Linked DNA regions of Stegostoma tigrinum. The protein of the gene in region 1 interacts with the protein of each later gene in a pairwise test. Links are inferred from orthologs where the notes say so. Each region holds a gene or a part of one and is shown on either strand. Other genes may lie near its edges. The genes, in order: rpia, atpaf2, ptpn11a and stk16.

Region 1 (7,169 bases):
GGAAAGTTACAATTAGAAATCACTGAAGGTTTTTTGGATCAAGCAGGGAGAAACTCCTCTCCCCGCCCCCTACACATCCCCCCAATAACAGACAAGAGCAGCAGGAACCAAAACAGCTAAACAAAAATCAAAGGAATGAGAGAAGGCCAGGAGAATTTATATACATGGTGAGCATGTGAGGAGACTACGCTAGGAAGTGTATCAGACTATAATTGAACAGCACAAAAGATCCACAGACTTGCTAAGTATAATACAACCTCACAAACAAATTTTTAAAAAAAAATCACACAGAAGGAGAATAACTACGTTGGATCGAACAGAAAACTTCTGTAAACTATCATTCAGTAACCCTCTAAATAAATTCACAAAGCTAAGGGTGAGGTGTTGGGGAGGGGATAGGGGTTAGGAATTATAAAACAATGCTTCTTTCAGATACAATAGCAGAGACAACAAACACAAAATGAAGGCAATTTCATAGCTTGATATCTTAATCAGCACCCACCTATTCTGTCCACAGCATACACTATCGTGGATCCACTTCCGATACCCAATGCTTGGTTGTTCTGAGACAAAAACAACAAACAGGATCAGTTTTTTCAGGTCAAAGTGACATCGTGTTCTTTGTTGTCAGGTGTAGCTGCTCCCACTGTGAATATTCACAAACAAAATTAAACTAGGTCCTAGAACATGTAATTTCCTGTAATAAACGTGTTGAATGGTGCACAAAAGTGTGAACCCAAGGCATTCCGAACAGCATTACTGTTTTGATTCAGAGATAGCAGGAACTGCTGATGCCGGAGAATCTGAGATAACAAGGTGTGGAGCTGCATGAACACAGCAGGCCAAGCAGCATCAGAGGAGCAGGAAGACTGACGTTTTGGGCCTCGATCCTTCTTCAGAAATAAAATCTTCTTCAGTTCCATGAAATTCAGATTTCTTGTTCAAATACTTGAACAACTGGCTTGGCAGCAGTCCTTGATAGCACTCTGGAACAGTTATCAGTTTACTGCTTGCCCCCAGTGATATGCCAGTCTAGTTACTGCACACCAAGTTGACCTGAATGACCCTCAGTCCTGTCCATTCTGGCTTAGCCATGCAATACTTGTGTTATTGCTATAACTATCATTTGGACACACTTGTGCCCATTGGGATTTGGTGTTTTTTTTTGCTGCTGTGTCAAAAATACCAGCATGTTCCACTGAAAAACTGAAGTATAATTCATTGACCAAAACTGAGAACATGGAATAGCTGCGGAAATTAAACTGAGGTGCGTCAGTGTAAAAGCTGAGGGAAGGGAATGCAGTGGGAAACTCTATAAATCGGCAAATTTAAAGAAACAGAAAAACCAGAACAATGAACTTTACACTGAAAATGATATTCAGAAGTAATTCAGATTGCACTGTCAAAAATCTGGGAAAATCAAAATCCAACAGTCTCAGTCCTGAGGGTACCAAATTTTAGATATGGGACCTGTAGTACTGCCAAGCCACCAAAACTGACCAACTTTATTTTTTCTGAAGAAGGGTCCCGAACCAATACGTCTGCTTTTCTGCTCCTCTGACGCTGCCTGGCCTGTGTACATCCAGCTCCACACTGTGTTATATCTGACTCCAACATCGGCAGTTCTTACTATTCTCCAACTTCCATCTTATGTGTGGACCTGCACTTGCTGCAAAAGTCACTGGGAAATCAGGGAGTACTGGAAAGTCAGCACATCTGGTCATCAGATGAGACATTACACCTAGGGCATATGCCACTTAGTTTAATGCCAAGAGCTAGAGTTCTGCCTGGCATCCTGGCCAAAATCTATCCTTTGTCCAACATCAATGAAATGAATCATCCCATCGTCATCATTTTGGGAGCTTGCTGAGCCACATTTCCAACATTGGAACAGCCGAGGCGACACTTCAAAAGTATTTAACAGGATGCAAAAGAGCATTGATACTTTCTGACATTGCGAAAGATACTGAACAAATGGGTGTTTCTTTCCTTGTTGCACAATATCCACACAACAGATTGGTAGAATCTGTAAGGGGTTTAGTTTTCTTTATCTCTCCTAACCAGAAGGTCAACAGCAGAACCTTCACAAACTACTATATGAAGGCAACATTGTTGAGGGGGGTTTCTGTCTCGCCTGGGCTGCTAACCATGGGGCAGTTCTCACTGCACAATTGAGGAAGCATTAAATTTCAGGCGCAGCATACGGTTGACGAGGGTACAGAACTCTGATTCAGCCAAATCCTCGTTTACACAACTCACACTAAACAAAAGTTAAGTGATAAAACTCAGCAGAAGTCAGTCCCTCACAGCTGTGATCTGTGGCCATGAGTACGCGGGAATTTCAGAAGGGTAAACCTCTCCCAGACCCCTTCACATTTTACAAGGGAGCAGCACGCTGGTTTCAAAAAGCAATTTAGTGTAAATGAATTTAAAGACTCGTCTAAAAACTCTGTCCTTCACTTTTAGAACTGGGCATAAAGACTTTATCAAAGGAGAAAAAAGTTTGTTCATTAAATAAAAAACACAAAAGTCATATTTGTGAACTTTTCCAGAGCTATCTGCTGAGCAACATATTCACTGTTTTAACCCCGGGCTGTAAACGTAAACCTACAGTTTAGTACAGGGCAGTAGCAATCCATTGGAAACACATTATCATCAACCCCCTACTCCAGCCCCTCATCCCCTACGTAGTTCAAAATACCGTCCAGAGAAAACTGACATGTCTGTGAAATAGCAACACAACTGACTTAGTGCAATTTTTTTAAAAAATGAAATGTGTATTAAAATGCATCCGTGGTACATTCTTTGCTCACTTGCACGTGATTATCCACAGCCATGTAACCAGCTTTCCTTTTTGCTTCTTCCTCCATGCCTTCGGTGAACTTCCTCTTCAGTGTAAGAAGCTGTAACTGTTGATGCCGCGGAACCGCTCTTAACCCGAAGCGCAGCCCCCACGAGCAGACTCCAGGAAGCCTCAGCCACATTGCCACTCCCCTCCCCACCTTGCAGAGCAGAGCAGCTCGGGATGGGGCTGCAGCTCGTAGTCAACCTCCTTTCTCAGCTGGGAAATGTAGTCTTCCATGCTAAAAGAATAAGACTACATTTCCCAGCCTGCACTGTCTTGTGTTTTGTCATTAAAGCTGAATTTGGTTTTTGCTGCACACTTTTCCTTCTGGAACTGTTACTGTTTCATGCATTCCACAGGGTATTGTGTGATCATTTGGGTAAAAATAATGGGGGAAAGATACAAAACAACAGGAGATTGGCTTGAGGTAATAATGCTTATTTGAGGAGCTGTTGCAAACACAACAGACCAAATTGTCTCCTTTTGAGTAATAACACGTATGATGCTGTTTTACTTCACCTTGCAATTTCTTTGACACCATCGCACAGTTAGCACTGCTACCTCGCAGCGCTAGGGACCTGGGTTCAATTTTAAGCCTTGGACAGCTGTCTTTTTGTGTTTCCTCCGGGTGCTCCTGTTTTCTCCCACAGTCCACCAATGTGCAGGTTAGGTGGATTGGCCATGCTAAATTACCCTGCAGAATCTGGGTATGTGCGGGTTAGGTGGATTGGCAATGGTAAATTACCCTGCAGAATCTGGGTATGTGCGGGTTAGGTGGATTGGCCATGCTAAATTACCCTGCAGAATCTGGGTATGTGCGGGTTAGGTGGATTGGCCATGCTAAATTACCCTGCAGAATCTGGCTATGTGTAGGTTAGGTGGATTGGCCATGCTAAATTACCCTGCAGAATCTGGGTATGTGCAGGTTAGGTGGATTGGCCATGCTAAATTACCCTGCAGAATCTGGCTATGTGTAGGTTAGGTGGATTGGCCATGCTAAATTACCCTGCAGAATCTGGGTATGTGCAGGTTAGGTGGATTGGCAATGATAAATTACCCTGCAGAATCTGGGTATGTGCAGGTTAGGTGGATTGGCCATGCTAAATTACCCTGCAGAATCTGGGTATGTGCAGGTTAGGTGGATTGGCCATGCTAAATTACCCTGCAGAATCTGGGTATGTGCAGGTTAGGTGGATTGGCAATGGTAAATTACCCTGCAGAATCTGGGTATGTGCGGGTTAGGTGGATTGGCAATGATAAATTACCCTGCAGAATCTGGGTATGTGCAGGTTAGGTGGATTGGCAATGATAAATTACCCTGCAGAATCTGGGTATGTGCAGGTTAGGTGGATTGGCAATGGTAAATTACCCTGCAGAATCTGGGTATGTGCGGGTTAGGTGGATTGGCAATGATAAATGTAGAGTTATGAGAATAGGGTAGGCGTCTGGGTAGGATGCTCTTTGGAGGGTCAATGCACCAATGGACCAAATGGTCTCTTCCTGTGCCGTTATGATTCAATGTGTTAAATTATAAAGTTAGATTTTCAAATGAACCTGTTCAAAGATGTTATTATTCATGTCTAGAGCAGATGCATTTTAAATCCTGGATACTATCACTGACCACAAGAGCCCCTTAGAGTTAGATTTCATTGCTATAAATGTCATTCACTTGTTCATGAAAGGATATTATTTTTCATTAGATTTTCATTAGAACCCCACCTAACCTGCTCATCATTGAATTGTGGGAGGAAACCGGAGCACCCGGAGGAAACGCATGCAGACACGGGGAGAATGTGCAAACTCCACACAGACAGTTACCTGAGGTGGGAATCGAACCCGGGTCCCTGGCGCTGTGAGGCTGCAGTGCCAACCACTGAGCGACCGTGCCACGGTGCATTATGAGTAGCCCAAGTACATTATGATTGGAAACAAAACAAAATATTGACAATACAGATGTGTCTTGAGCGGAGGTATTGTACAGAAAATAGCAGCAGGACATCATCCCAAATAACTTAACAGCCAGTGAAGGCATTGTTGGAGTGTAGAAACCTCCAAGTTGGAAAACCAGCACAAACAGCAAAATAATAATGACCTGCTTTTGTGTTATGAATATTAGTGATAACACAGCTGAATTTCTGGAACGGGAACATGTTGATCACATCCCTTGTAAACATTTGGTACCTGAGTTCCAAAACATAAGTGACAACATTAATAAATATTTCCTCACTAACTTGTGTAGAGGCATTGTTACACACTTCCGGAGCAAGTGTGATTTGAATCTGAGTCTCTTGGTCCAGAGACAGTGTCACTATCACTGCGCCACAAGAGCCCCAGTTTGCATTTGCACCGAAATCTCAGTGTGTTCCAACTCCAAAAGTGTTTTATAGCTAATGGATCATTTTTTCAGAATGTTTTTCAGTATGTTTACATCGTCAGTTGTACAGTGCTTTGGGATATTCTGAGGTGATGAAATAAACCATATCAAAGATGTGGATGCTTTGGAGAGGGTTCAGAGGAGATTTACCAGGATGCTGCCTGGACTGGAGGGCTTATCTTATGAAGAGAGGTTGACTGAGCTCGGTCTCCTTTCATTGGAGAAAAGGAGGAGGAGAGGGGACCTAATTGAGGTATACAAGATAATGAGAGGCATAGATAGAGTTGATAGCCAGAGACTATTTCCCAGGGCAGAAATGGCTAGCACGAGGGGTCATAGTTTTAAGCTGGTTGGTGGAAAGTATAGAGGGGATGTCAGAGGCAGGTTCTTTACGCAGAGAGTTGTGAGAGCATGGAATGCGTTGCCAGCAGCAGTTGTGGAAGCAAGGTCATTGGGGTCATTTAAGAGACTGCTGGACATGTATATGGTCACAGAAATTTGAGGGTGCATACATGAGGATCAATGGTCGGCACAACATTGTGGGCTGAAGGGCCTGTTCTGTGCTGTACTGTTCTATGTTCTATGTTCTAAATGTGCATTTTCATCTCCTTATGCTATTATTCCAACTGATTCAGAGAAAAACAGTTAAGTTGCTGGCTGTTAACAGCAAAATATTTATCTCCAGTTTTGAAAGGAAAGGCCATAGCCCACAAGCTTTAGAACATTATGTATTGCAGCCGGTTAATAGCTGACACCCACGACAATTGGAAACAATACAGTTACTCCCTCCATTACAACAATTCTCAGGAACTACTCTCACCATGCTGGAAAGGAAATGAATGTTCCATCCTATTGAGTTTGCATAAAGCTATAATCAAAGGGAAAAGTCAAAAAGAAAATATTGGAACCTGAAGGAGGTGGATAAAAAGACTTCACTTGTAGGCAGTCACAGAGTGTTTACAACACAGAAGGGAGTTATTCAGACAGTTCTGAGGACGGGTCACCAGGTCCGAAACATTAACTCCGATTTTTTTCGTCACAGATGTTGCCAGACCTGCTGAGCTTTTCCAGCAACTTTTGTTTTTCTTCCTTATTCAGACATTTAGCGGTGCAACACAGCCTGTCCCACTCTCACTGCCTTTTCCCTACAGCCAGGCTGCCAAAAGTTGCCGTCAACTGCTGCCTTGGTGATCCTGTCACATGGTTGGGAGTGAGGAGCGCAATCAAACTCCTTCCTAGTAGCAAGGATCCAAAACCAATGCTAACCCAGCTGAGGTCTTCAAAGCTGGAGGTCAATAGCTGATGAAGGAGCTCCCTGAACCCTTTCAGTGTAAGTGGGAGCAAGGGACCATCCTGCCAAAGCAGAAAGGTGTCTCCATTGCTCCCTTGTGTAAGTGAATCTCAGAGCATTCATAGCATATTCTCAGTCTCCTCTATTGACCCACAAAATCTTCATTGGAATTCTTCTGAAGTGCTCAGTGCAACAGGATCTATGGCTAGTAAGTGAAAGTGGTTTCAGAAAAAGTCAAGGCATCACTGATGGGGATGTTTGCAGTTAGAAGATCCAGGAGAAATGCCAAGAACAGAATAAGGGCCTCTGCATCACTTTGTTGACTGGACCACGGCCTTTAACACAGTCAGTGGGAGGGCCTTAGAAAGGTCATGCCAAAAATTCAGCTTTCCTGAAAAATTCATCACAACAACTGAACAATTCCATGACAATACACTCATTATAGCAGCACTGATGTCTATGACATGTAAGTGCTCCTCTTTTTTATGAATAGTCTTCTCAACAGCCTGTTTTTTTTGTGTTGTTAATTTGAAGGTGTTCCACTTGCCCAGCAGGAGTTTTCCCATTTGCTCACTAAGCTCCTCGTTTGCTTCCTTGCTGAGCGTCTAACTGGGAATGCTCCTACAGATCCCCCCTTCCAAATGGAGTCACTAACTGCC
Region 2 (7,725 bases), on another chromosome or scaffold:
TAGGTTTGAAAACAAATGAGAATTTTAAAATTGGGTTAGCAAGCAGAGAAATGGTGGATGAATAGGAATTGGTGAGAGTTAAGATTCAGGCAGATAGTTATGAGCTGAAGGTTATGTGAAGCCAGGTAGGAGTATGCTCGAATGTTGTATAAAAATAAGAAAGACATAAATGTGATTTCAACAGATGAGCAAGGCAAGGATGGAGATCACCATCATTGACTGGATGACTCAAAGAAATTCAACAGTAGGGCGGCACGGTGGCTCCGTGGTTAGCACTGCAGCCTCACAGTGCCAGGGACCCAGGTTCAATTCCAGCCTCAGGCGACTGTCTGTGTGGAGTTTGCACATTCTCCCTGTGTCTGTGTGGATTTCCTCCGGGTCCTCTAGTTTCCTCCCACAGCCCAAAGATGTGCAGGTGGATCGGCCATGCTAAATTGCCCGTAGTGTTCAGGGATATGTGGGTTATAGGGTGATGTGTCTGGGTGGGATGCTTCAAGGGGCGGTGTAGATTTGTTGGGCCAAAGGGCCTGTTTCCACACTGTAGGGAATCTAATCTAATCTTAAATAAAAAACACTACTTTTAAATATCAGACTGGAAAGCACAAGTCTTACCTTCCCCTTGAGAAATGCTAACATCCTGATAAAATTTCTTCCGCTCTAAAAAACAGTAAAATTACAAAAATAATTAGATGACTTTTATTTATCTGTATTTGCTGAAACTTGCACCACAGCAACAGTGCATCTACAATAATATACTCCAAGTGTGCACAGCAATTTAACCCAGTTACAGCATAAGCGACTTACATAATTACCCAAATCAAGCACGATTTTTTGGGACTTCTGTCCAGGTACCTTCAAAGAATCAAGCAAATACCTCTAGTTTGCTGAATTATTACACTGGTCACAGCCACTGAGGCCATTGTAGAACAGTCCTAAAGGGCTCAGAACCTGTACTGTATTCCACCACGTTGCTCATCAGAAAAATTTACTAAAAACTTAAAATTTCAAACAAGCAAAGGAAAGGTGTCTTGACAGCCAGGCCAGGCTAATATTTACTTGACCTTATTCTTGTTCTAAACATAGATTACAACCAAAAACTCTAAAATACCAGTTTTGGATCCCATGCTGCTTAGGAAGCCATTCTATACATATCTTAACAACAATGTGTACAGAAGGCAAGCAGTGGTACTTGTACAGCTAATTTCACAGGTTGTGGACAGAGAGTGATTTACAGCCAACGTGCGGCCTCTTCTGGGGTGCTCGAGCCCATCTGTTTATGACAACGATAAAAGAACATTTTCATGACTTTTGTTAGAGGATAAACACTGGACAGAATTTCCCTGCTCTTCTTTAAATGGTCTAGAACTTTTGCGGCCACTTGAGTGGTCAGAGGGAGCTCCAGTTTAATGCCTCGTTCGAAAGAACTAACTCTGTGAGCTATGTTTTTTTTGTATCAACCTGGATTCTGTATTCGAGTCTGTGGAACAGGATCGAATCTACAATCCTGAAGCTCAGAGGCTCAGGTGGTCCCACGGACACACGGCTGACTCTCTGTAATCGATTCCCAGTTTCCAATCTGAGATAATGGGAACTGCAGATGCTGGAGAATTCCAAGATAATAAAATGTGAGGCTGGATGAACACAGCAGGCCAAGCAGCATCTCAGGAGCACAAAAGCTGACGTTTCGGGCATAGACCCTTCATCAGAGAGGGGGATGGGGAGAGGGAACTGGAATAAATAGGGAGAGAGGGGGAGGCGGACCAAAGATGGAGAGTAAAGAAGATAGGTGGAGAGAGTATAGGTGGGGAGGTAGGGAGGGGATAGGTCAGTCCAGGGAAGACGGACAGGTCAAGGAGGTGGGATGAGATTAGTAGGTAGCTGGGGGTGTGGCTTGGGGTGGGAGGAAGGGATGGGTGAGAGGAAGAACCGGTTAGGGAAGCAGAGACAGGTTGGACTGGTTTTGGGATGCAGTGGCGGGGGGGGGGGGGGGGTGGAGAGCTGGGCTGGTTGTGTGGTGCAGTGGGGGGAGGGGACGAACTGGGCTGGTTTAAGGATGGGCAACTCATATTCCACCTGGGAACCCTGCAGCCATATGATATCAATGTGGACTTCACCAGTTTCAAAATCTCCCCTTCCCCTACTGCATCCCTAAACCAGCCCAGTTCATCCCCTCCCCACACTGCACCACACAACCAGCCCAGCTCTTCCCCCCGACCCACTGCATCCCAAAACCAGTCCAACCTGTCTCTGCCTCCCGAACCGGTTCTTCCTCTCACCCATCCCTTCCTCCCACCCCAAGCCGCACCCCCAGCTACCTACTAACCTCATCCCACCTCCTTGACCTGTCCGTCTTCCCTGGACTGACCTATCCCCTCCCTACCTCCCCACCTATACTCTCCTCTCCACCTATCTTCTTTACTCTCCATCTTCGGTCCGCCTCCCCCTCTCTCCCTATTTATTCCAGAACCCTCACCCCATCCCCCTCTCTGATGAAGGGTCTAGGCCCGAAACGTCAGCTTTTGTGCTCCCGAGATGCTGCTTGGCCTGCTGTGTTCATCCAGCCTCACATTTTATTATCCCAGTTTCCAATCTCTCAGATTTTCTGAAGAAGGGTCCCGACCCGAAACATGAATTTTCCTGTTCCTCCGGCCCGCTGTGTTCATCAAGCTCCACACGGGGTGACCTCTAACTCCAGCATCAGCAGATCTTACTACCTCTGAATGTTATGACATGTTTGGCTTCCATTGCTCTGGCTCACCCACCCGCTGCTGGATACTGCCGCCGCCACTCCACCGTCCTTCCCATCATCTGGGAACCAACCCCAGGCCTGAGCCGAGGGAGCACCCGGGCCCAGAGACGGCACAACATGGTCCCGCAGCCTCGGCAGAGGAATCGCACCAACGGGGCAACGGCTGCTGCCGTAAATCGCTCACTGAATCCACCACTGAGCTTCGGAAGACATTCACATTCAGCAAATACTCTCCTTCAGGCCGTCGCCATGTTGCTGACCTGCCACCCCGCAAAACATGCGTTGACGGATGTGCCCTGTATCCAATCACAAGGCGGCACACGGGTCAATCAAATAGCAGGGGGCGGGGCTTCATGGAAGCTGGTCGGGGATGATCCAATCACGTGGATGCCTTTTATCAAAAGTTTCCAATCACTGAAAAGTTCCTAACCGTGACTTTACCTCTCAGAGTAGAGGATGTATTTTAATTCCTGTGTAACACTGAAAATTAGTGATAAATAACAATGAATCTCTTTCTGTAATACCTTTTATGGTGTACAAGTTAATTAACCACTTTCTGAAGCGTAGTCACTATTTTAATGTAGGAAACACAAGAGCCAGGTTGTATGTACACCATAAACAGTAATGGAATTAAAGGCCGGATCAGCATACTCCTACTAAAGTTCTGATTGAAGCTCGTATCATAAGATTTGTTTCCTTGTGCTCCAAGTGCCATGTCAGCTTTTGCGTAAAAATGAATGAATACGAGATTTCAAATTACAAGAGAAACAGTTATGAGCTAACTGGATATCAAAGTGTGGGGCTGGATGAACACAGCAGGCCAAGCAGCATCCCAGGAGCACAAAAGCTGACTTTTCGGGCCTAGACCCTTCATCAGAGAGGGGGATGGGGAGAGGGAACTGGAATAAATAGGGAGAGAGTGGGACGCGGACCGAAGATGGAGAGAAAACAGGATAGGTAGAGAGGAGAGTATAGGTGAGAAGGTAGAGAGGGGATAGGTCAGTCCAGGGAAGATGGACAGGCCAAGGAGGTGGGATGAGGTGGTAGGTAGGAAATGGAGGTGCGGCTTGAGATGGGAGGAAGGGATGGGTGAGAGAAAGAACAGGTTAGGGAAACAGAGATAAGCTGTGAGGCTGGATGAACACAGCAGGCCAAGCAGCATCTCAGGAGCACAAAAGCTGACGTTTCGGGCCTGGACCCTTCATCAGAGAGGGGGATGGGCAGAGGGAACTGGAATAAATAGGGAGAGAGTGGGAGGGAAACCGAAGATGCAGAGAAAACACGATAGGTAGAGAGGAGAGTATAGGTGAGAAGGTCTCTGATGAAGGGTCTAGGCCCGAAACGTCAGCTTTTGTGCTCCTGAGATGCTGCTTGGCCTGCTGTGTTCATCCAGCCTCACATTTTATTATCTTGGAATCTCCAGCATCTGCAGTTCCCATTATCAGAGATAGGCTGATGGGGGTGCGGCTTGGGGTGGGAGGAAGGGATGGGTGAGAGGAAGAACAGGTTAGGGAGGCAGAGACAGGTTGGACTGGTTTTGGGATGCAGTGGGTGGAGGGGAAGAGCTGGGCTGGTTGTGTGGTGCAGTGTGGGGAGGGGATGAACTGGGCTGGTTTAGGGATGCGGTGGGGGAAGGGGAGATTTTGAAACTGGTGAAGTCCACATTGATACCATATGGCTGCAGGGTTCCCAGGCGGAATATGAGTTGCTGTTCCTGCAACCTTCGGGTGGCATCATTGTGGCACTGCAGGAGGCCCATGATGGACATGCCATCTAAAGAATGGGAGGGGGAGTGGAAATGGTTTGCGACTGGGAGGTGCAGTTGTTTATTGCAAACTGAGTGGGGGTGTTCTGCAAAGCGGTCCCCAAGCCTCCGCTTGATTTCCCCAATGTAGAAGAAGTTACTCCGGGTGCAATGGATACAGTATACCACATTGCAGATGTGCAGGTGAACATCTGCTTGACATGGAAGGTCATCTTGGGGCCTGGGATAGGGGTGAGGGAGGAGGTGTGGTGGCAAGTGTAGCACTTCCTGCGGTTGCAGGGGAAGGTGCCAGGTGTGGTGGGGTTGGAGAAGATTGTGGAGCGGACAAGGGGGTCGTGGAGAGAGTGGTCTCTCTGGAAGGCAGACAAGGGTGGGGATGGAAAAATAGCTTGGGTGGTGGGGTCGGATTGTAGATGGCGGAAGTGTTGGAGGATGATGTGTTGTATCCGGAGGTTGGTGGGGTGGTGTGTGAGAATGAGGGGGATCCTCTGGGGGCGGTTGTGGCGGGGGCAGGGAGTGAGGGATGTGTTGCGGGAAATGCGGGAGACACGGTCAAGGGCGTTCTCGACCACTGCGGGGGAAAGTTGTGGTCCTTGAAGAACGTGGACATCTGGGATGTGCGGGAGTGGAATGCCTCATCCTGGGAGGAGATGCGGCGGAGGCGGAGGAATTAGGAATAGGGGATGGAATTTTTGCAGGAGGGTGGGTGGGAGGAGATGTATTCTTGGTAGCTGTGGGAGTCAGTGGGCTTGAAATGGACATCAGTTTCTAGTTGGTTACCTGAGGTGGAGACTGAGAGGTCCAGGAAGGTGAGGGATGTGTTGGAGATCGCCCAGGTGAACTTGGGGTTTGGGTGGAAGGTGTTGGTGAAGTGCATGAACTGTCAAGCTCCTCTGAGGAGCAAGAGGCGGCGCTGATACAGTCATCAATGTAATGCAGGAAGAGGTGGAGTTTGGGGCCTGTGTAGGTGCGGAAGAGGGACTGTTCCACGTAACCTACAAAGAGGCAGGCATAGCTGGGGACCATGCGGGTGCCCACGGCCACCACCTTTGTCTGTAGGAAGTGGGAGGAATCGAAAGAGAAGTTCTTGAAGGTGAGGACGAGTTCGGCTAGGCGGATGAGGGTGTCGGTGGAGGGGGACTGGTCGGGCCTGCGGGACAGGAAGAAGCGGAGGGCCTTGAGGCCATCTGCATGAGGAATACAGGTGTATAGGGACTGGACGTCCATGGTGAAAATGAGGTGTTGGGGTCCAGGGAATTGGAAGTCCTGGAGGGGGTGGAGGGCGTGGGTGGTGTCACGGACGTAGGTGGGAAGTTCCTGGACCAAAGGGGAGAAAATGGAGTCTAGATAGGTGGAGATGAGTTCGGTGGGGCAGGAACAGGCTGAGACAATGGGTCGACCATGGCAGGCAGGTTTGTGGATTTTGGGAAGGAGATAGAAATGGGCCATGCGGGATTGGGGAACAATGAGGTTGGAGGCTGTGGGTGGGAGGTCCCCTGAGGTGATGAGGTCATGGATGGTGTTGGAGATGATGGTTTAGTGGATGAAGTCATGGATGGTGTTGGAGATGATGGTTTGGTGGATGAGGTCATGGATGGTGTTGGAGATGATCTCAGGTAACCAGCTAGAAACTGATGTCCATTTCAAGCCACCGACTCTCACAGCTACCTAGAATACACCTCTTCCCACCCACCCTCATGCAAAAATTCCATCCCCTATTCCCAATTCCTCTGCCTCTGCCGCATCTGCTCCCAGGATGAGGCATTCCACTCCCGCACATCCCAGATGTCCATGTTCTTCAAGGACCACAACTTTCCCCCCGCAGTGGTCGAGAACGCCCTTGACCGCATCTCCCACATTTCCCGCAACACATCCCTCACACCCCGCCCCCGCCACTATTGCCCCCAGAGGATCCCCCTCATTCTCACATACCACCCCTCCAACTCCGGATACAACGCATCATCCTTCGACACTTCCGCCATCTACAATCTGAACCCACCACGCAAGCTATTTTTCCATCCCCACCCTTGTCTGCTTTCCGGAGAGACCACTCTCTCCGCGACTCCCTTGTCCGCTCCACACTCCCCTCCAACCCCACCACACCCGGCACCTTCCCCTGCAACCGCAGGAAGTGCTACACTTGCCCCCACACCTCCTCCCTCACCCCTATCCCAGGCTCCAAGATGACCTTCCATGTCAAGCAGATGTTCACCTGCACATCTGCCAATGTGGTATATTGTATCCATTGCACCCGGTGTGGCTTCCTCTACATTGGGGAAACCAAGCGGAGGCTTGGGGACCGCTTTGCAGAACACCTCCGCTCAGTTCGCAATAAACAACTGCACCGCCCAGTCGCGAACAATTTCAACTCCCCCTCCCATTCCTCAGACGACATGTCCATCATGGGCCTCCTGCAGTGCCACAATGATGCCACCTGAATGGTGCAAGAACAGCAACTCATATTCCGCTTGGGAACCCTGCAGCCCAATGGTATCAATGTGGACTTCACAAGCTTCAAAATCTCCCCTTCCCCCACTGCATCCCAAAACCAGCCCAGCTCGTCCCCTCCCACCACTGCATCCCAAAACCAGCCCAGCCTGTCTCTGCCTCCCTAACCTGTTCTTCCTCTCACCCATCCCTTCCTCCCACCTCAAGCCGCACCTCCATTTCCTACCTACTAACCTCATCCCGCCTCCTTGACCTGTCCGTCTTCCCTGGGCTGACCTATCCCCTCCCTACCTCCCCACCTATACTCTCCTCTCTACCTATCTTGTTTTCTCTCCATCTTTGGTCCGCCTCCCCCTCTCTCCCTATTTATTCCAGTTCCCTCTGCCCATCCCCCTCTCTGATGAAGGGTCTAGGCCCGAAACGTCAGCTTTTGTGCTCCTGAGATGCTGCTTGGCCTGCTGTGTTCATCCAGCCTCACGTTTTATTATCTTGGATTCTCCAGCATCTGCAGTTCCCATTATCCATGAGCTAACTGGAGCTGTGGACTGTGTAGCCCCCACATCCTGAGAGATTTCATCCTCTTAAAACGGGTGCCAGATGAAGTAGTAAATGTGCTTGCGTTAATTTTGTAGACTTTGTCAGATTCTGGAAAAGTTCAATCAGACTGGAGCATGGCAGCTATAGTTGGTTTCTGAAGCATAACTCTTAATTTGAAAACGTTCCTCTTGAGATGTTGCCTATCCGTCCCACAGAATTCTTGTCA
Region 3 (7,537 bases), on another chromosome or scaffold:
ATCTTCTCCCAGTACAACAGATACTCCTTTGCCAGGAATACTTCCCCACCATTTACCTCCATCACTTACGAAACATGGGAACATTCAGCTATCTCTTTTTCAGCCCAATCTCTAAATTGCAATAATGTAATTGTTCCAAGTACTAACCAAGAGGAGGGGAAGCAGGTGGAATTTAAGGGAATGTTAGAGAGACAGAGTAATAAACTCAAATGTCACAACAATAGGCAAAGGGAGAGTTCACGTTGTAGAGACAGCTAGGTGCAGATTAGATGTTTAACAGTAGCTGTTAAGAGCATAATTAAGAGGTCAGCACTGCGGCATGCAAAACCTAAAAACAATGGAGAGAGGGCAGGAAACAAAATGGAGGAGAGAGTTCACGGTCTGAAATTATTCAATGCAACATCAAATCTAAAAGGCCTAAGTCGAATAATACAAAGGCCTTCAGATGCTGGAGGTCTAAAACAAACAAATAGCTGGAGAAACTCAGCATCTGAAAATGGTGTTAACGTTGAGTCCAGTGACTTCTTTAGGCCTAAATGGAAAATGCTCCAGCTTGCAATGGGTTTCACTCAGACACTACAGTTGACCTAGGGCAAAAGAAATTCTAAGAGCTAAATGGTGTACTTGTGTCAAGTGACAGAAGGTTGGTGTCATGCTTGCAAACCGAGGTGCGTTCTGCAAAGTGGTGTCCCCAGCGAAGTGGAGGCTACATTATAAGCATTGAAGCCAGTAGACTAGATTGAAAAAAGAAAGCACAAGTAGATTTACATCTCCTGAAAGAAATATTAAGGGCTTTGGACAGTAGGAGAGTGGTGATAAAACAATGTATTGCATTTCCTGCCATTTATAAAAAAGTGCTTCGGGAGGGAGATGAAGAGTTGGGGCAATAAAGGGATGCCAGAATGTCAAAGGTAACGGTCCCTTCAAAATAGTGAGAGCAAATGTAGCCGAGGTAGCTGTGGGAGTTGGTGGATTTGTAACTAATATTAGTAGACAGTCTATCCCTGCAAGAGGGGGCAAAGACAGAAAAATTAAGGATTAAAGGAAAGAGTCAGAGATGGGCCAGGTGAACTTGAAAGACTAGAAATTGAAAGCAAAATGGATTAACTTTTCCAGTTCTGGGTGACAGCAGGCACTGATACAGTCAAAGTACTAGAGAAAGAGTTACGTGAGGATACCCCCAGACTGGGAAAAAAACAAAACCCATAAAAACACAAAGTATCACTTGAGCGCACATGGATAAGTGGCCACGTGGTATTTGAAACTCTCATGGCCAATACAAAAGATGGAGCTCTGAACTGGGGGGGGGGGGGGGGGGGGGGGGGGGGGGGGGGGCAGCAGTGAGCCTATTTAAAACTCAGGTAGATTACCAGAAACTTACAGCACATCAGAAATGAAAATTTAAGACAAAAAAGTGACATACCCGAAAAGTGAAGACTAAGCAGGGCATATCATGACTTGATAAAAAGTACACATAATAGAAATTGCAAAGTATACTGGTCAGAGAGAAGGTAAACATGAATCTCACTTCAAAACTCTATCAGCATTCACATCAAAGGATAAGAACTCAAAAAGCTGACACTAATTTAGTGTTAAACTGCATCTGGAGTTCCCTATGTCCAGTTGGGGAACAATTCTCTGGAACTACAGAAACAGAAACTGGATCAATTCCAAGAAGAATGGGTAAAGCAGGAAGTTGAAAAGCTGGAAGAAAGGCACAAGAGTGGCTGCACGAAAAACTTGCACTGCAGAACAATAAAGCAGAACTTGAAGTATTTAAAGAGCAACTGCAGTGTGCTGTTTAGCTCAGAGACAACATTTTACAGCCAAAAAATACTTGTGCTTAAAGGAAGAGAACAAGTTAATAAACTGTAAAGTGTTCATTTTTAAAATATGATTAACATTGATCTTTAGGAAAACAGATAACTGGAACTGTTACACTAATATAAAGGCAGACCATTTTTCTTTTAATTAATAGGACATTGTTTCTGTTGGAGAAAGTAATAGGAACTAATTGCTGAATGTGCAAGGGGACCTCACTGTTCTAACTTTGTTAAAAATTCATCGGAGGGATGAGGGCGTTGCTGGCTAGGCAGCATTTATTGTCCATCCCTAATTGCCCAGAAGGCAGTTAAGAGTCAACCACATTGCTGTAGGTCTGGAATCACATGTAGGCCAGACCAGCTAAGGGCGGCAGTTTCCTTCCCTAAAGGAAATCAGTGGACCAGATGGGGTTTTTCCAGCAAATCGACAATGGATCCACAGTCATCATTAGACTCAATTCCAGATATTTATTGAATTCAAATTCCACCATCTATGGCAGGATTCAAACCCAGGTCCCCAGAAGGTTATCTGGGTCTCTGAATTAACAGTGTAGCAATAACATCACTAGGCCATCACCTCCCCATAACTTAGTCATGTGACCAATGGACTGCTATTGTGTTAGGTACATGGAGATGCAAGAAATAAAATGGAGTTCCATCAAGTCTATAGTCTAAAGTATCATCATTTTGACCTTGTGGGAATCAAAAGACTGACTCAATGCTACCCAACTCCCTTACCTCACTAAAATAAAATTATAGATGCTGGAAATCTGAAACAAATCAAAACAAATTACTGGAGAAGGTCCACAGGTCTGGCAACATCTGTGCACAAAAAAGTCAACTTTTCAGGCCCAATGACTCATCTTCAGGACTGACTGTCACAGGGAAAATGGGATTACATCACGCTGAAAACAGGGGCTGGGGAATAAACAGCAGGTAGAGATGCACCCAGAACAGAACAGTAGTTGGCAGACAAAGGAATGAGTGGATAGTCACCTGTGTTCTGTCCAAAGAAAACCAAAATGACCCTGAGCTTCAAGGCACAACTGTGTGCTCTGGCTAACATTTCTCCCAGGGGTGCTGCAGTGCTCCAGCTGGAAGAACTGCATTTCATTTTCTGCTTGGGGAACCTGCAGGCTTCAGAACTCAATACAGAGTTCACTAATCATAAGGCCCGAGCACCTTCTTCCATGTCTTTTACATCCCTCACACAACCAGCCCCACCTTGTCATCACTTTGGCTGCTTTCATCACAGCCAATCCATTTTTGGCTTTAGTAGCTATTTCCAATGCTGACCATTATCCATTTGTTTAATTATCCAAAAGCTGTTCTTTCTCTGGGCCTCATCTCCACCTCCTTCCCCTCTCCCATCTCCCACATATATGCCAGCTTTTCCCAGCTACAATTAGTTGTGAACCTGTTTTCTCACCACAAATGGTACCAGACCCAGCTGAATTTGTTCCTTTGTTTGCTGTTTTGCCCTGCTTCATTTATGCTGTTATACTTACCCAAGCCCTGAACCAAATAATAAAGTAGACCCAGAACCTCACTGCTCTATTAGATCAAGATCTGACCTACAATGCACTCCTTTGCCACAATTCTGTCTGAATTAGGTTCTCATACTTTTAAACTTTTTTTCTATTTTCCTTTTCATGACCAAATTGATTCAGCTTCCAATGTTTGAAAAAGAAAATTCAATTTGCTAACTTTGTTGTGACAAAATTGTAACAAGTGTCACAAAACCGTCTTTATGGAACCACGGAAAAGTTGTAGCATAGAAAGCGGCCATTCAGCCCGTCACGTTCACGGCAGTTGAGAGAAAACTATCCCATCTTCCAGCACATTCAAAGAAAAACCGTCCAGATAGTTTGAAGGTTTCTGAAACAAGAACCCGAAGTAGTTAAATTCAGCACCTCTAACATTATCTGCTGAGAGAGAAGCAGCGCTACTGTTCAGTGAACCTTCTTCAGAAATAGACAGCAACGTTCTTCGAAACTAATTCTGATGAAGGCTCACCAGGCTAGAAGCGATAACTGTTTTCCTCTTACTCCTCAGATGCTGCCAGAGCCACTAACTTTCTCCAGCTTTTGCTTTTTGGGGGGGCATTACATTATCGGAGGTTTCGGCCTCGACCACCAGAATGGGTGGAACATTCTAGACCATGCCTCCACCTACCGTGAAACATTTCTCCCCACATACCGCCCTAATCCTTTTACTTTAGATCAATTAACCCCGATTAATGAATGAATAAATTCAAACCAGTAACGACCTGAATTATTCTCAATCAAACGTGGGCTGAACAGTCTTGGTTTCTGAAGTGACAAAGCCTCTCCGGGTTGCAATGCCTCATAACACACCCCCACTTCCAGAGGTTCACAATACGCATGCGAAAAACTCTGCGCGCGCGCACTTTATGACACGTCCTGCCAATAATAAACATGGCGGCCCCCAAATCGGCTCAGTGAACTGGTCTGGTGGAGTGACGTCACCGGGTCTTCGTGTGGGTTTGGGAACAAGAAATGCAAATTTTACACATGCGCGCCGGAGAGTTTCGGGGTGTTAACTCGACATTCTCTGCCCTAGCGTGATAATTCATTATTCTTTCGATGTCTACTCTCAGCCTTGCAGGGAAAGGGGACGCCGCTGCGTCATATCCGTGCGCGGGTCGGTGTGTTGGAGACGTAGATTTCCAGCGCCGTAGGCCGGGAGGGGGTAGGTGGAGATGACTTTTTTCCCCCCGCGACGCAGTCGCTGCGTTTCTAGTTAGTTCCTCAGCTGGGTAGGGAGAGACACACACACACAGAGACACAGACGCTGGGCGGGAAGTGCCTGAGATCGAGTTAGGTCCTCTTGCCCCATAGGAGCTGCCGCAGAGGCAGAGTGCCTACCAACTCTCGCACCCATCACCGGCGGAGGCAGAAAAGAACCGGCAGGCCAGTGTGAGAGGGAGTGCCCTCCGTCCATCACCATGACATCCCGAAGGTGGGTGAGCGGGTGTATGAGGGAAGAATGGGTGTATTGGTGAGGGGAGGCGGGTGGGAATACTGCGGGTATTGGGCGGAGACTGTGGCTATGCCACAACAGGGGGAATCTGTGAAATATGGAACTCGCTGGGGAGTGCTGACATTCAATGATAACCTGGCCTGAACTTAAGGAAGCCTGAGGGAGCAGAGGGGAAGTTTCACAAATGGGCTGTAGCCAGTCACTGAACAAAAATACGGCGCTTGGAGTATACAGCTAGGCTCAAACATTGCTGTCAATCCCTCACTGACCTCTGCGACAGCTACCTGTACTTAAAAGTCGTTGGTCAAAGACTGGTGTGCTGTGTTGACGATTGTATTGATTTTGCATATTCACCAATCGCGGATGAATGTGCAAACATAACAGTAAAACTAAGGATAGGTGACTATATCCCAACAAGTAGAACACTCGTAATGCTGATTTGGAAGCTTTTCGTCTGTACGATGCCTTAAGGTGTATATATGCACTTGCCCACAAGGGCAGAAAAGAGCCCAGTGTTGTGTTGATAACAGGAGATGCGAATGGGAGGGATCAGAGCTTGTGTGAAAATACTGTTTTTTTTTTGTTTAATTCCAAAGATATTCACTAAGGATTGTGGAATAAGGTACTGAGCAGCCTCTCTCAAAGCTATTTTGTAAGGCAAGATTCATCACGTTGAGGGATTTGGATTTATGAAACAAATTTAATTTGGTCAGATTATTCTAAAACTGTGCCTGATGCAAAGAAATTAAAATTAAATATTAAAAATTTAAATTAAATATTAAAACTAATATGCAAACTTCAGGGCTAAGGTAAGAAAAGGCAATGATTTTTAAATGTGAAATCTAAAAATGTGAAATTGAAGTTAAATTATTTTTCCTAATTACTCTGAACTCTGTCAAGGAGGGACAGTTCATTTTATCTGTTTTTTTTCTGAAAACTGAAATGCTGCCTTTTTTATAGAGCACTGATTGGATCATTATGTGAAGGTGTTTGGCAAAGGACCTTCATGGATTGCAATGAAGAGGAACAAGAATAGTTCTAGTTTAAACATTAAAGTGCGAATTAAATATCTAAAGTCATTGTCAGAGGAAAAAGAGATCTGAGATGAGGTATGGTCAAGGCCTTAGTGATAGCTAGACATAACTGGTAAAATGGAGTATATGCTTTAATCTAGGACCAGAAGGCAAAACTACAAAATTATCAAGATGTTAGTGATCCCCACAGCTTTCATAAGCTTTCTTGCAACCCGTGTCTCATTTGGTCAAAAGACGTGTTGTTGCCTCCAACTGAAAGCCATTTGTTCCACGTCATCTGAATTTCTTGAAACCCTGCCTAGATGAAGATTTAAATAGGCAGAATTATCTTGGATTAACTAAAGTTGACGATAATTGTGCTGTCTACAAAAAATAACTTTAGGCCATGGGGTGTTACTTTCAGAGTGTAGCCTTCTGAGTAAAATTGTATTCCCTTCAACTGTTGGATCTTGCTTCCTTGTTTAGGGTGTCAGGGTAAAATGTCAGTACTTTTACTTCTTGGAAATACTGACTGTGGTTGCATTGAACTGCCACAGGAACTTCAGTTATGTCAAGGTTTAATAGTACAATTCATGTGGAAGTGTGGGGTTGATTCAGCCTTTTTCAATTGCACATTTTTCCAAACATGGTACATAGCAGACCCACCCACATTTACTGATATGGAGCATTGCTAGACAGAGAAAAGGATCAGAATGAAAGGAAATGACACTGCATGTTGTATGCAGAAAAACATGAGTGAACGAGGGTCACATTCACATGTTACTGCAAAAGGACCGGCACATAGCAGATTGGCCAAAGAGGGTGAGAACATCTAACAGGTAATGCTTTTGTGATGGTACAGAGATAATGACAGCACTGAGCAGGAAGAGTTGCTATACAACTGTGTAGAAACAACAACTACTGATGTTTGTAAAGTGCTTTTGAATGTAGTAAAATGTCCCATGCTGTTCACATAAATTTGACACCATGCAGTATAAGAGATATTGGGGTAGGTGACCAAAATCTTTGTCAAAGAGATCATAAGGAAGCCGAAATATAGTGAAATGGGGTCTTTGGCTACTGAAATTTTGATCATCAGTGGTGGCTTGATTTAAAATCAGGAATGCTCAAGAAACTGGAATCTGAAGATTACAATTAGTCAGAAGGTTGTAGTGCTGGGGAAGATTACAGATCTTCTAATTTATGAATCAGAGGCAAGACCATGAAGGGATTTGAAAATAATTAAAATTTTACAGGGGCCAATGTGTTTCAGTTAGTGGGAAGGTGATGATTGAACTGGATTTGGTGCAAGTTAGGACATCAGCCATCGAGTTTAGGATTCCTTGAGTTTACAGAATGTAAGAAGCCAGCTAATGATCTGTTGAAATACCTTTTATAGTAATAAAGGTATCATTGAGAGATTCTGCAGCAGATGAACTGAGGCAGCAGCAGAACTAGGTGATGTCTTGGAATGCAAATGAGTGATATTAGTGATGTGGTTGTATGGTCGGAAGCACATCTTGGAGTCAAATGTAACACCATGGTTGCAAACATTTTGGTTTACAAGTACTATGCGCAGTTTTGGCCTTACTTGAGGAGGGATCGAGTTGCATTGGAGACAGTTCCGAGGAGGTTCACTCGATTGATCCTAGAGATGAGGGGTTTGTCACATGAAAGAGAGATTGACCGGGTTAGACC
Region 4 (8,016 bases), on another chromosome or scaffold:
CCCTCCAGTCCAGGCAGCATCCTGGTAAACCTCCTCTGAACCCTCTCCAAAGCATCCACATCTTTCCTATAATAGGGCGCCCAGAACTGGACGCAGTATTCCAAGTGCGGTCTAACCAAAGTTTTATAGAGCTGCAACAAGATCTCACGACTCTTAAACTCAATCCCCCTGTTAATGAAAGCCAAAACACCATATGCTTTCTTAACAACCCTGTCCACTTGGGTGGCCATTTTAAGGGATCTATGTATCTGCACACCAAGATCCCTCTGTTCCTCCACGCTGCCAAGAATCCTATCCTTAATCCTGTACTCAGCTTTCAAATTCGACCTTCCAAAATGCATCACCTCGCATTTATCCAGGTTGAACTCCATCTGCCACCTCTCAGCCCATCTCTGCATCCTGTCAATGTCCCGCTGCAGCCTACAACAGCCCTCTACACTGTCAACGACACCTCCGACCTTTGTGTCGTCTGCAAACTTGCTGACCCATCCTTCAATTCCCTCGTCCAAGTCATTAATAAAAATTACAAACAGTAGAGGCCCAAGGACAGAGCCCTGTGGAACCCCACTCACCACTGACTTCCAGGCAGAATATTTTCCTTCTACTACCACACGCTGTCTTCTGTTGGCCAGCCAATTCTGTATCCAAGCAGCTAAGTTCCCCTGTATCCCATTCCTCCTGACCTTCTGAATGAGCCTTCCATGGGGAACCTTATCAAATGCCTTACTGAAGTCCATATACACCACATCCACAGCTCGACCCTCATCAACCTTACTAGTCACATCCTCAAAAAACTCGATAAGGTTTGTAAGGCATGACCTACCCCTCACAAAGCCATGTTGACTGTATTTGATCAAGCCATGCTCTTCCAGATGGTCATAAATCTTATCCCTCAGAATCCATTCTAACACCTTGCAGACGACAGACGTGAGACTTACCGGTCTATAATTGCCGGGGATTTCCCTATTTCCTTTCTTGAAGAGAGGAATTACATTTGCCTCTCTCCAGTCCTCAGGTACGACTCCAGTGGAGAGCGAGGATGCAAAGATCTTCGCAAGTGGCGAAGCAATTGCATTTCTCGCTTCCCAAAGCAGCCGAGGACAAATCTGATCCGGGCCTGGCGACTTGTCAATCTTAATGTTTGACAAAATTTTCAGTACATCAGCTTCCTCTATCTCTATCCATTCCAGCATGCACACCTGCTCTTCAAAGGTTTCATTCACTACACAGTTCGATTCTTTCGTAAAGACAGAAGCAAAAAACTCATTTAGGGCTTCCCCTACCTCCTCAGGCTCCACACACAAGTTCCCTATGCTATCCCTGATCGGCCCTACTCTTTCTTTGACCATTCTCTTATTCCTCACGTAAGTGTAAAATGCCTTTGTGTTTTCCCGGATTCCTTCTGCCAAGCCTTTCTCGTGCCCCCTCCTGGCTCTCCTCAGACCATTTTTGAGCTCCTTCCTTGCCTGCATGTAATCCTCTCTAGCTGAACTTGACCCTAGCTTCCTCCACCTTATGTAAGCTACCTTCTTCCTTTTCACTAGAAGCTCCACCGCTCTCGTCATCCAAGGTTCCTTTATCTTACCCCTTCTTGCCTGTCTCAGAGGGACATATTTACTCATCACTCCCAACAACTGTTCCTTAAACCATCTCCACATGTCTATAGTTCCCTTACCATGGAACAACTGCTCCCAGTCCATGCTTCCTAACTCGTGTCTAATCGCATCATAGTTTCCTCTTCCCCAATTAAATATCCTCCCATTCTGCCTAATCCTCTCCTTCTCCATAGCTATGTAGAATGAGAGAGTGTTATGGTCACTATCACCAAAATGCTCTCCCACCACAAGATCTGATACCTGCCCCGGCTCGTTTCCGAGCACCAAGTCTAGAATGGCCTCTCCCCTCGTCGGCCTGTCAACGTACTGCGTTAGGAAACCCTCCTGAACACACCTTACAAAAACAGCTCCATTCAAATCTTCTGCTCGAAGGAGGTTCCAATCAATATTAGGAAAGTTAAAGTCACCCATTACAACAACCCTACTGCGTCCACACTTTTCCAAAATCTGTCGACCTATGCTTTCTACAATCTCCCTGCTGCTATTGGGGGGCCTGTAGTAAACCCCTAACGAGGTGACTACTCCCTTGCTGTTCCTAATTTCCACCCATACTGACTCAGTAGGCAGATCTTCCTCGACAATGGAAGCTTCTGTAGCTGTGATACTCTCTCTGATTAGTAGTGCTACACCCCCTCCTCTTTTTCCCCCCTCCCTATTCTTTTTAAATGTTCTAAACCCTGGAACATCCAGCAACCATTCCTGCCCATGAGAAACCCATGTCTCTGTTATGGCCACAACATCATAGCACCAGGTACTGATCCATGCTCTAAGTTCATCACTTTTATTCCTGATACTCCTTGCATTAAAGCAAACACACTTTAACCGATCCCTTGGTTCCTTCCCAGGAAAATCCTTCCCACTAGCTGGTCTACCTCTTGCTACTGCCTCACCTGCATCAACGCTCACCTCTGGTATACAGCTCAGGTTCCCACCCCCCTGCCATACTAGTTTAAACCCTCTGGAACTACTCGAGCAAACCTTCCACCCAGGACATTGGTCCCCTTCCAGTTCAGATGCAACCCGTCCTTCTTGTACAGGTCCCACCTTCCCCAGAAGGCATCCCAATTATCAACATATCTGAAGCCCTCCCTCCTACACCAGCTGCGTAGCCACGTGTTCAGCTGCGCCCGCTCCCTGTTCCTCACCTCGCTATCTCGTGGCACCGGTAGTAAACCAGAGAACACTACTCTGTTCGTCCTGCTCTGCAGCTTCCATCCTAACTCCATGAAATCACTTTTTATATCCTCAACCCTATTTCTGGCTATATCATTTGTGCCAATATGTAACACGATTTCTGGCTGTTCACCCTCCCCTTTCAGAACTTTATACACCCGATCGGAGACGTCCCGGACCCTGGCACCAGGGAGGCAACATACCTTCCGGGAATCCCGATCTTGCCCACAAAATCTCCTGTCGATTCCCCTAACTATCGAGTCCCCTACCACGAGTACTTTTCTATTCTGCCCCCTTCCCTTCTTTGCCACAGTGTCAGGCTCAGTGCCAGAGAACTGACTACTATGGCTTTCCTCTGGTAGGTCAACACCCCCAGCAGTATCCAAAACGGTATACTTATTGCTGAGGGGAATGCCCACAGGGGATCTCTGCACTGTCTGTCTGTCCCCTTTCCTCCCCCTAACTGTAACCCATCTATCCTCGTCCTGAGCCTTAGGAGTGACCAACTCCCGATAACTCCTCTCAATTACCCCCTCTGCCTCCCGAATGATCCGTAGTTCATCCAGCTCCAGCTCCATTTCCCTAACACGGTTTTCAAGGAGCTGTAGCTGGGTGCACTTCCCGCAGATGTAGCCAGCGGAGACGTGTGCCACATCTCCCAACTGCCACATTTTGCAGGAGGAGCAAGCAACTGCCCTAGCATCCATACCCCACTTATCTGAACACCCACTCAATACTAAAGCAGAAAGCTCACTTCAAGTAATAATAACAAATTAATAACAAACTTATGTTCAATAGAGAAAGTTTAGAATGAACCTTACCTTATTAACTAGGTTAGAGGAGGGCGGCGGGTGGGAGACACTACAGTTGTAGAGTCTCGGGTTAAGCCGCCTTGCTGATATATATGGTCACTGCTTTCCTTCCCGGCTGCCCCTCTGGTCCTCGTCACTTCCTCTGATGCTCCCGCTCCTTCTCTGAAAGAGGAAAAAAAACACCGCTGCCCGCTACCGGTAAGTAATTTTAAAAATAAACTGCTTTACCTTAGCTGCAGTCTTCCGGGTCCGTCTTGCCTCTGCTGCTGCTCGCACTCAAAATGGCCGTTGGCGTCGAAGGGTGAGTATTTATACTCACTGCTTTCCTTCCCGGCTGCCCCTCTGGTCCTCGTCACTTCCTCTGATGCTCCCGCTCCTTCTCTGAAAGAGGAAAAAAAACACCGCTGCCCGCTACCGGTAAGTAATTTTAAAAATAAACTGCTTTACCTTAGCTGCAGTCTTCCGGGTCCGTCTTGCCTCTGCTGCTGCTCGCACTCAAAATGGCCGTTGGCGTCGAAGGGTGAGTATTTATACTCACTGCTTTCCTTCCCGGCTGCTCCTCTGGTCCTCGTCACTTCCTCTGATGCTCCCGCTCCTTCTCTGAAAGAGGAAAAAAAAAACACCGCTGCCCGCTACCGGTAAGTAATTTTAAAAATAAACTGCTTTACCTTAGCTGCAGTCTTCCGGGTCCGTCTTGCCTCTGCTGCTGCTCGCACTCAAAATGGCCGTTGGCGTCGAAGGGTGAGTATTTATACTCACTGCTTTCCTTCCCGGCTGCCCCTCTGGTCCTCGTCACTTCCTCTGATGCTCCCGCTCCTTCTCTGAAAGAGGAAAAAAAACACCGCTGCCCGCTACCGGTAAGTAATTTTAAAAATAAACTGCTTTACCTTAGCTGCAGTCTTCCGGGTCCGTCTTGCCTCTGCTGCTGCTCGCAATTGTGAAAGGGAGGGAGGGGACAGGCAATTGGGGCGTGACGGTGGCTCAGTGGTTAGCAAAGGAGCTGGATTTGATTCCAGCTTCACATGACTCCGTGTGGAGTTTGCATGTTCTCCCTGTGTTTTTTCTCCCCCATGGTACAAAGATGTTCATGTTAGGTGGGTTAGCCTTGGGAGGTACAGGGTCTGGGTGGAATTCCCTTTGGTGGGTTGGTGTGGACGGAATGAACTCCTTTCATGCTGTAGGGAATTCTGTAAATTGCATGCAATTTTATCTGTTGGAGGAGTAACTTTAAAAGCAAGAATAAACTGGCACCGCCATCTCTCGGGGGCACACTTCGAGGCTTGGTCCTGGCCCTGCAACCAGCACGTGGTGGGGGAAATTTCCCGGGGCTCCAATTCTCGCGAGATGCCAGGGTGGTGTCCGGGAGGACTGGCGGCTCTTCTCGCGAGACCTGACGGCCGCGAGCAGCGGCGGCGCCCCTGTGAGCCGCCAGTGGCAGCAGCCGGGAGTCTTTGTGGCGCGGTCTCCTTCGTGAAGTGATTGACGGTGAAGAAAATCATCGGTTAACGGCGGTAGGGGAGACTGTAATTGCTTTGTGTGTGTTTAATATATATATTTTTTAAAAAGGGAAAGCGAACCGCGACTTTCCAAACGAGGGGTTGGGGACGCGTCGTCAGGTTGAGAAATAGGTCGGCCGGGGGAGGGAACTACAATACCCATGAGGCTTTGGGGTGGCGCATGGGCACCATCGGATCCAGGTGCATGATTTCAAGAGAATCGTTATGCGCATGCTCAGTTATTTGTTGTGAGCTTCCTCAATCACCCTTCCACCCCCCCCCACCAAAAGTTGCTTTTTTAATTGCATTAAACCCTTAGGATAACAAAAGTAAATAATAGGATCTGCCATGACCCTGTCGAATAGTGAAGCAGATATGGGGGTGCCGGATAGCATTCTCCTGTTTTTCTCTCTCTCAGTCTTCCCTGCAGTTAGGGCACGTCCTTTGGAAGGCTGATTAACCTGCTCCTGTTCCTACTTGTGGTGCAGTGTGCTTTATTTGACCCCCCCTGGTATAGAGTGACAAGCTGATGAAGTTCCTTTTTTAAAAAAATTATCTTGCACTCCTCAGGGCAGAATCACAAGAACGTCAAACTGCCCAGAGAATAGCAATTTATACCGCAACAGTAAGTGATATTGACTAGTTGGGATGTTGACTGACTGATCAAAGTGTTGCTATGGAGAAATAAACCAGGCAGTGTATACTCCCAGTGATAATGGGAACTGCAGATGCTGGAGAATCCAAGATAATAAAATGTGAGGCTGGATGAACACAGCAGGCCCAGCAGCATCTCGGGAGCACAATATATACTCCCCTTGCCTTTCTTTCATTGTAACAGGTGCAGAGTCTGTACATGTGCACCCTTTCTGCAGAGGACAGGATCCCCTGCATATGTGTATATGTACTTTGTAGGAAACACAAGTGAGCCCAACTAGATAATCTTAAATTAGTTGATCATGAAAATGTTTGTATAATCAAGGCACAGTGTCTAATGGTGGAGACAGTGGGGTGAGGAAGATCATCAGATGAAATAAGGTTTGTGACTGTAGTTGATACAATGACCCAATTGCCATGGGACTGCAGGGACATTTCCCTCTGGGATACCCTAGGACACTCTTCATTAACTCACAACAGCACACCCCCCTCTCTTTCCTCCTCCTCGCCCCCCCCCCCCCCCCCCACCGCCAGCCCTACAGTGCCTTCCCCTGCAACCATCGAAGATGTAACACCTGCCCAGTTACCACCTCCTTCCTCAGTATTCAAGGGCACAAACATACGTTCCAGGTGAAGCAGCACTTTACCTGCACATCCCACAGTCGAGCCACTGCATTCACTGCTCACGATGTGCTTTCCCCTACGTTTGGGAAACCAAGTGTAAGCTGGGTGACCGCATCACAGAACGTCTACCTTCTGCCCACAAAAAAAAACACTCTTCCAATTTCTTACCACTTTAACACACCCCCTGTCCCCTGGCCAACATCTCTGTCTCAGGCTTGCTGTAGCATTACCAGTGAAATTCAGTGCAAGCTGGAGGAATAACACCTGGTTTTCTGCTTGGGGACCTTGCAGCCCTCTGGACTCAATATCAGCCTGCTCTCTCCCATGTCCTAGCCCCTAATCTCATGTGTGAGGCCTTGTTATCACATAGCCTGTCTTTATACGCTACCCATTGTTAACCAATAACAGCCCCCATTAACAGCTATTCACCCTCCCAGCCAGATGGTTATCCACTCCTTTGTCCAAATGTTCTTCTTTCTCTTTAGGCTGTATCCCAACCTATCGTTTACAACTCCATCACCCCACCCTACCTTCTACATGTAAACCAACATTTTCCTAGCTACAAGATAACAAGGTGTAGAGCTGGATGAACACAGCAGGCCAGGCAGCATCAGAGGAGCAGGAAAGCTGATGTTTCTGGCCTAGACACTTCTTCGCTTTCCTAGCTACCTTCAGTTCTGAGGAAGGTCGCCAGACCCAAAACATTAACTGTGATTTCTCTACAGAGATGCTGCCAGACTTGCTGAGCTTTTCCAGCAATCTCTATTGTTGTTTCTGATTTACGGCATCTGCAGATCTTATGGTTTCTATTCAGATAAGAGGGTTTTAAATTATTCAACAGTCTCACCACAGGAAGGTCTGAAAAGATATTTCCTCGGAAGCAAGTTTACAAAACTGTATAGTAACAAACACCCTGTGTTATGTAGTACACGTCACCGAACTGTTTGTCGTTCAGGACACTGTGTAAAACTAGGACACAAATTAAACTTTAATCATATCCCACTCTAGTTACATGAATGGAAATGCTGTTGCAAGAAGGAACAGGCAGTCTCTGCTTTCAAGTTGGAATTAAGTGAAACAGTTGGAAGTTAATTTCCACTTCTAGCTGACCCTGATCCTGGTTATTGTGTAACTATTAACAGAGTTTTGCTAATCTTTGTGATGCATCAGTGTCTTTTGGGACTACTAGTTACGCTGATTGTATTGTTTCCTATCAGATTAATTGTTTCAACTGCTGTCAGTGGCATTTAAGTTCATTTTAAGGGTCACTTGTTGGTGTCTGTTTTCAAAACTTAAAGTCACCATAGTTTTAACCAGGCTGTGGAGCTGCTCGCCCATGAGAGAGAGAGAGATGAGTGGTGGTTTAACCAGAAGGTCACTACCCCTTAGGTGATGGGAGAGGTTGAGAGGGACAGTTTATTTATAGTAACCTTGGCTGTTGTACGAATTGAACCCAGGTTGTTGGCATCACAACATATCACAAACCAACATAATAAAATGTGAGGCTGGATGAACACAGCAGGCCAAGCAGCATCTCAGGAGCACAAAAGCTGACGTTTCGGGCCTAGACCCTTCATCAGAGAGGGGGATGGGGTGAGGGAACTGGAATAAATAGGGAGAATGTCTAGTCAACTCAGCTAC

What was found.
Region 2: the proteins of rpia (region 1) and atpaf2 interact in binary tests that used the Homo sapiens proteins (3 or more experiments, as listed by UniProt). The two-hybrid records come from large-scale screens. The link is inferred for Stegostoma tigrinum from reciprocal best matches to the Homo sapiens genes RPIA and ATPAF2.
Region 3: the proteins of rpia (region 1) and ptpn11a interact in binary tests that used the Homo sapiens proteins (3 or more experiments, as listed by UniProt). The two-hybrid records come from large-scale screens. The link is inferred for Stegostoma tigrinum from reciprocal best matches to the Homo sapiens genes RPIA and PTPN11.
Region 4: the proteins of rpia (region 1) and stk16 interact in binary tests that used the Homo sapiens proteins (3 or more experiments, as listed by UniProt). The two-hybrid records come from large-scale screens. The link is inferred for Stegostoma tigrinum from reciprocal best matches to the Homo sapiens genes RPIA and STK16.

Annotation. Positions count from the first base shown.
Region 1 is NC_081354.1:175,268,307-175,275,475, forward strand, and holds the start of rpia (ribose-5-phosphate isomerase), read right to left. Parts: upstream 3,022-7,169; 5' UTR 2,985-3,021; coding exon 2,814-2,984; intron 564-2,813; coding exon 503-563; intron 1-502. UniProt on the Homo sapiens protein: Catalyzes the reversible conversion of ribose-5-phosphate to ribulose 5-phosphate and participates in the first step of the non-oxidative branch of the pentose phosphate pathway.
Region 2 is NC_081376.1:20,185,353-20,193,077, forward strand, and holds the start of atpaf2 (ATP synthase mitochondrial F1 complex assembly factor 2), read right to left. Parts: upstream 3,050-7,725; 5' UTR 2,869-3,049; coding exon 2,763-2,868; intron 658-2,762; coding exon 613-657; intron 1-612. UniProt on the Homo sapiens protein: Plays a role in the assembly of the F1 component of the mitochondrial ATP synthase (ATPase).
Region 3 is NC_081379.1:13,632,187-13,639,723, forward strand, and holds the start of ptpn11a (tyrosine-protein phosphatase non-receptor type 11), read left to right. Parts: upstream 1-4,490; 5' UTR 4,491-4,791; coding exon 4,792-4,805; intron 4,806-7,537. UniProt on the Homo sapiens protein: Acts downstream of various receptor and cytoplasmic protein tyrosine kinases to participate in the signal transduction from the cell surface to the nucleus. Positively regulates MAPK signal transduction pathway. Dephosphorylates GAB1, ARHGAP35 and EGFR.
Region 4 is NC_081360.1:100,738,161-100,746,176, forward strand, and holds the start of stk16 (serine/threonine-protein kinase 16), read left to right. Parts: upstream 1-5,000; 5' UTR 5,001-5,112; intron 5,113-8,016. UniProt on the Homo sapiens protein: Membrane-associated protein kinase that phosphorylates on serine and threonine residues. In vitro substrates include DRG1, ENO1 and EIF4EBP1. Also autophosphorylates. May be involved in secretory vesicle trafficking or intracellular signaling.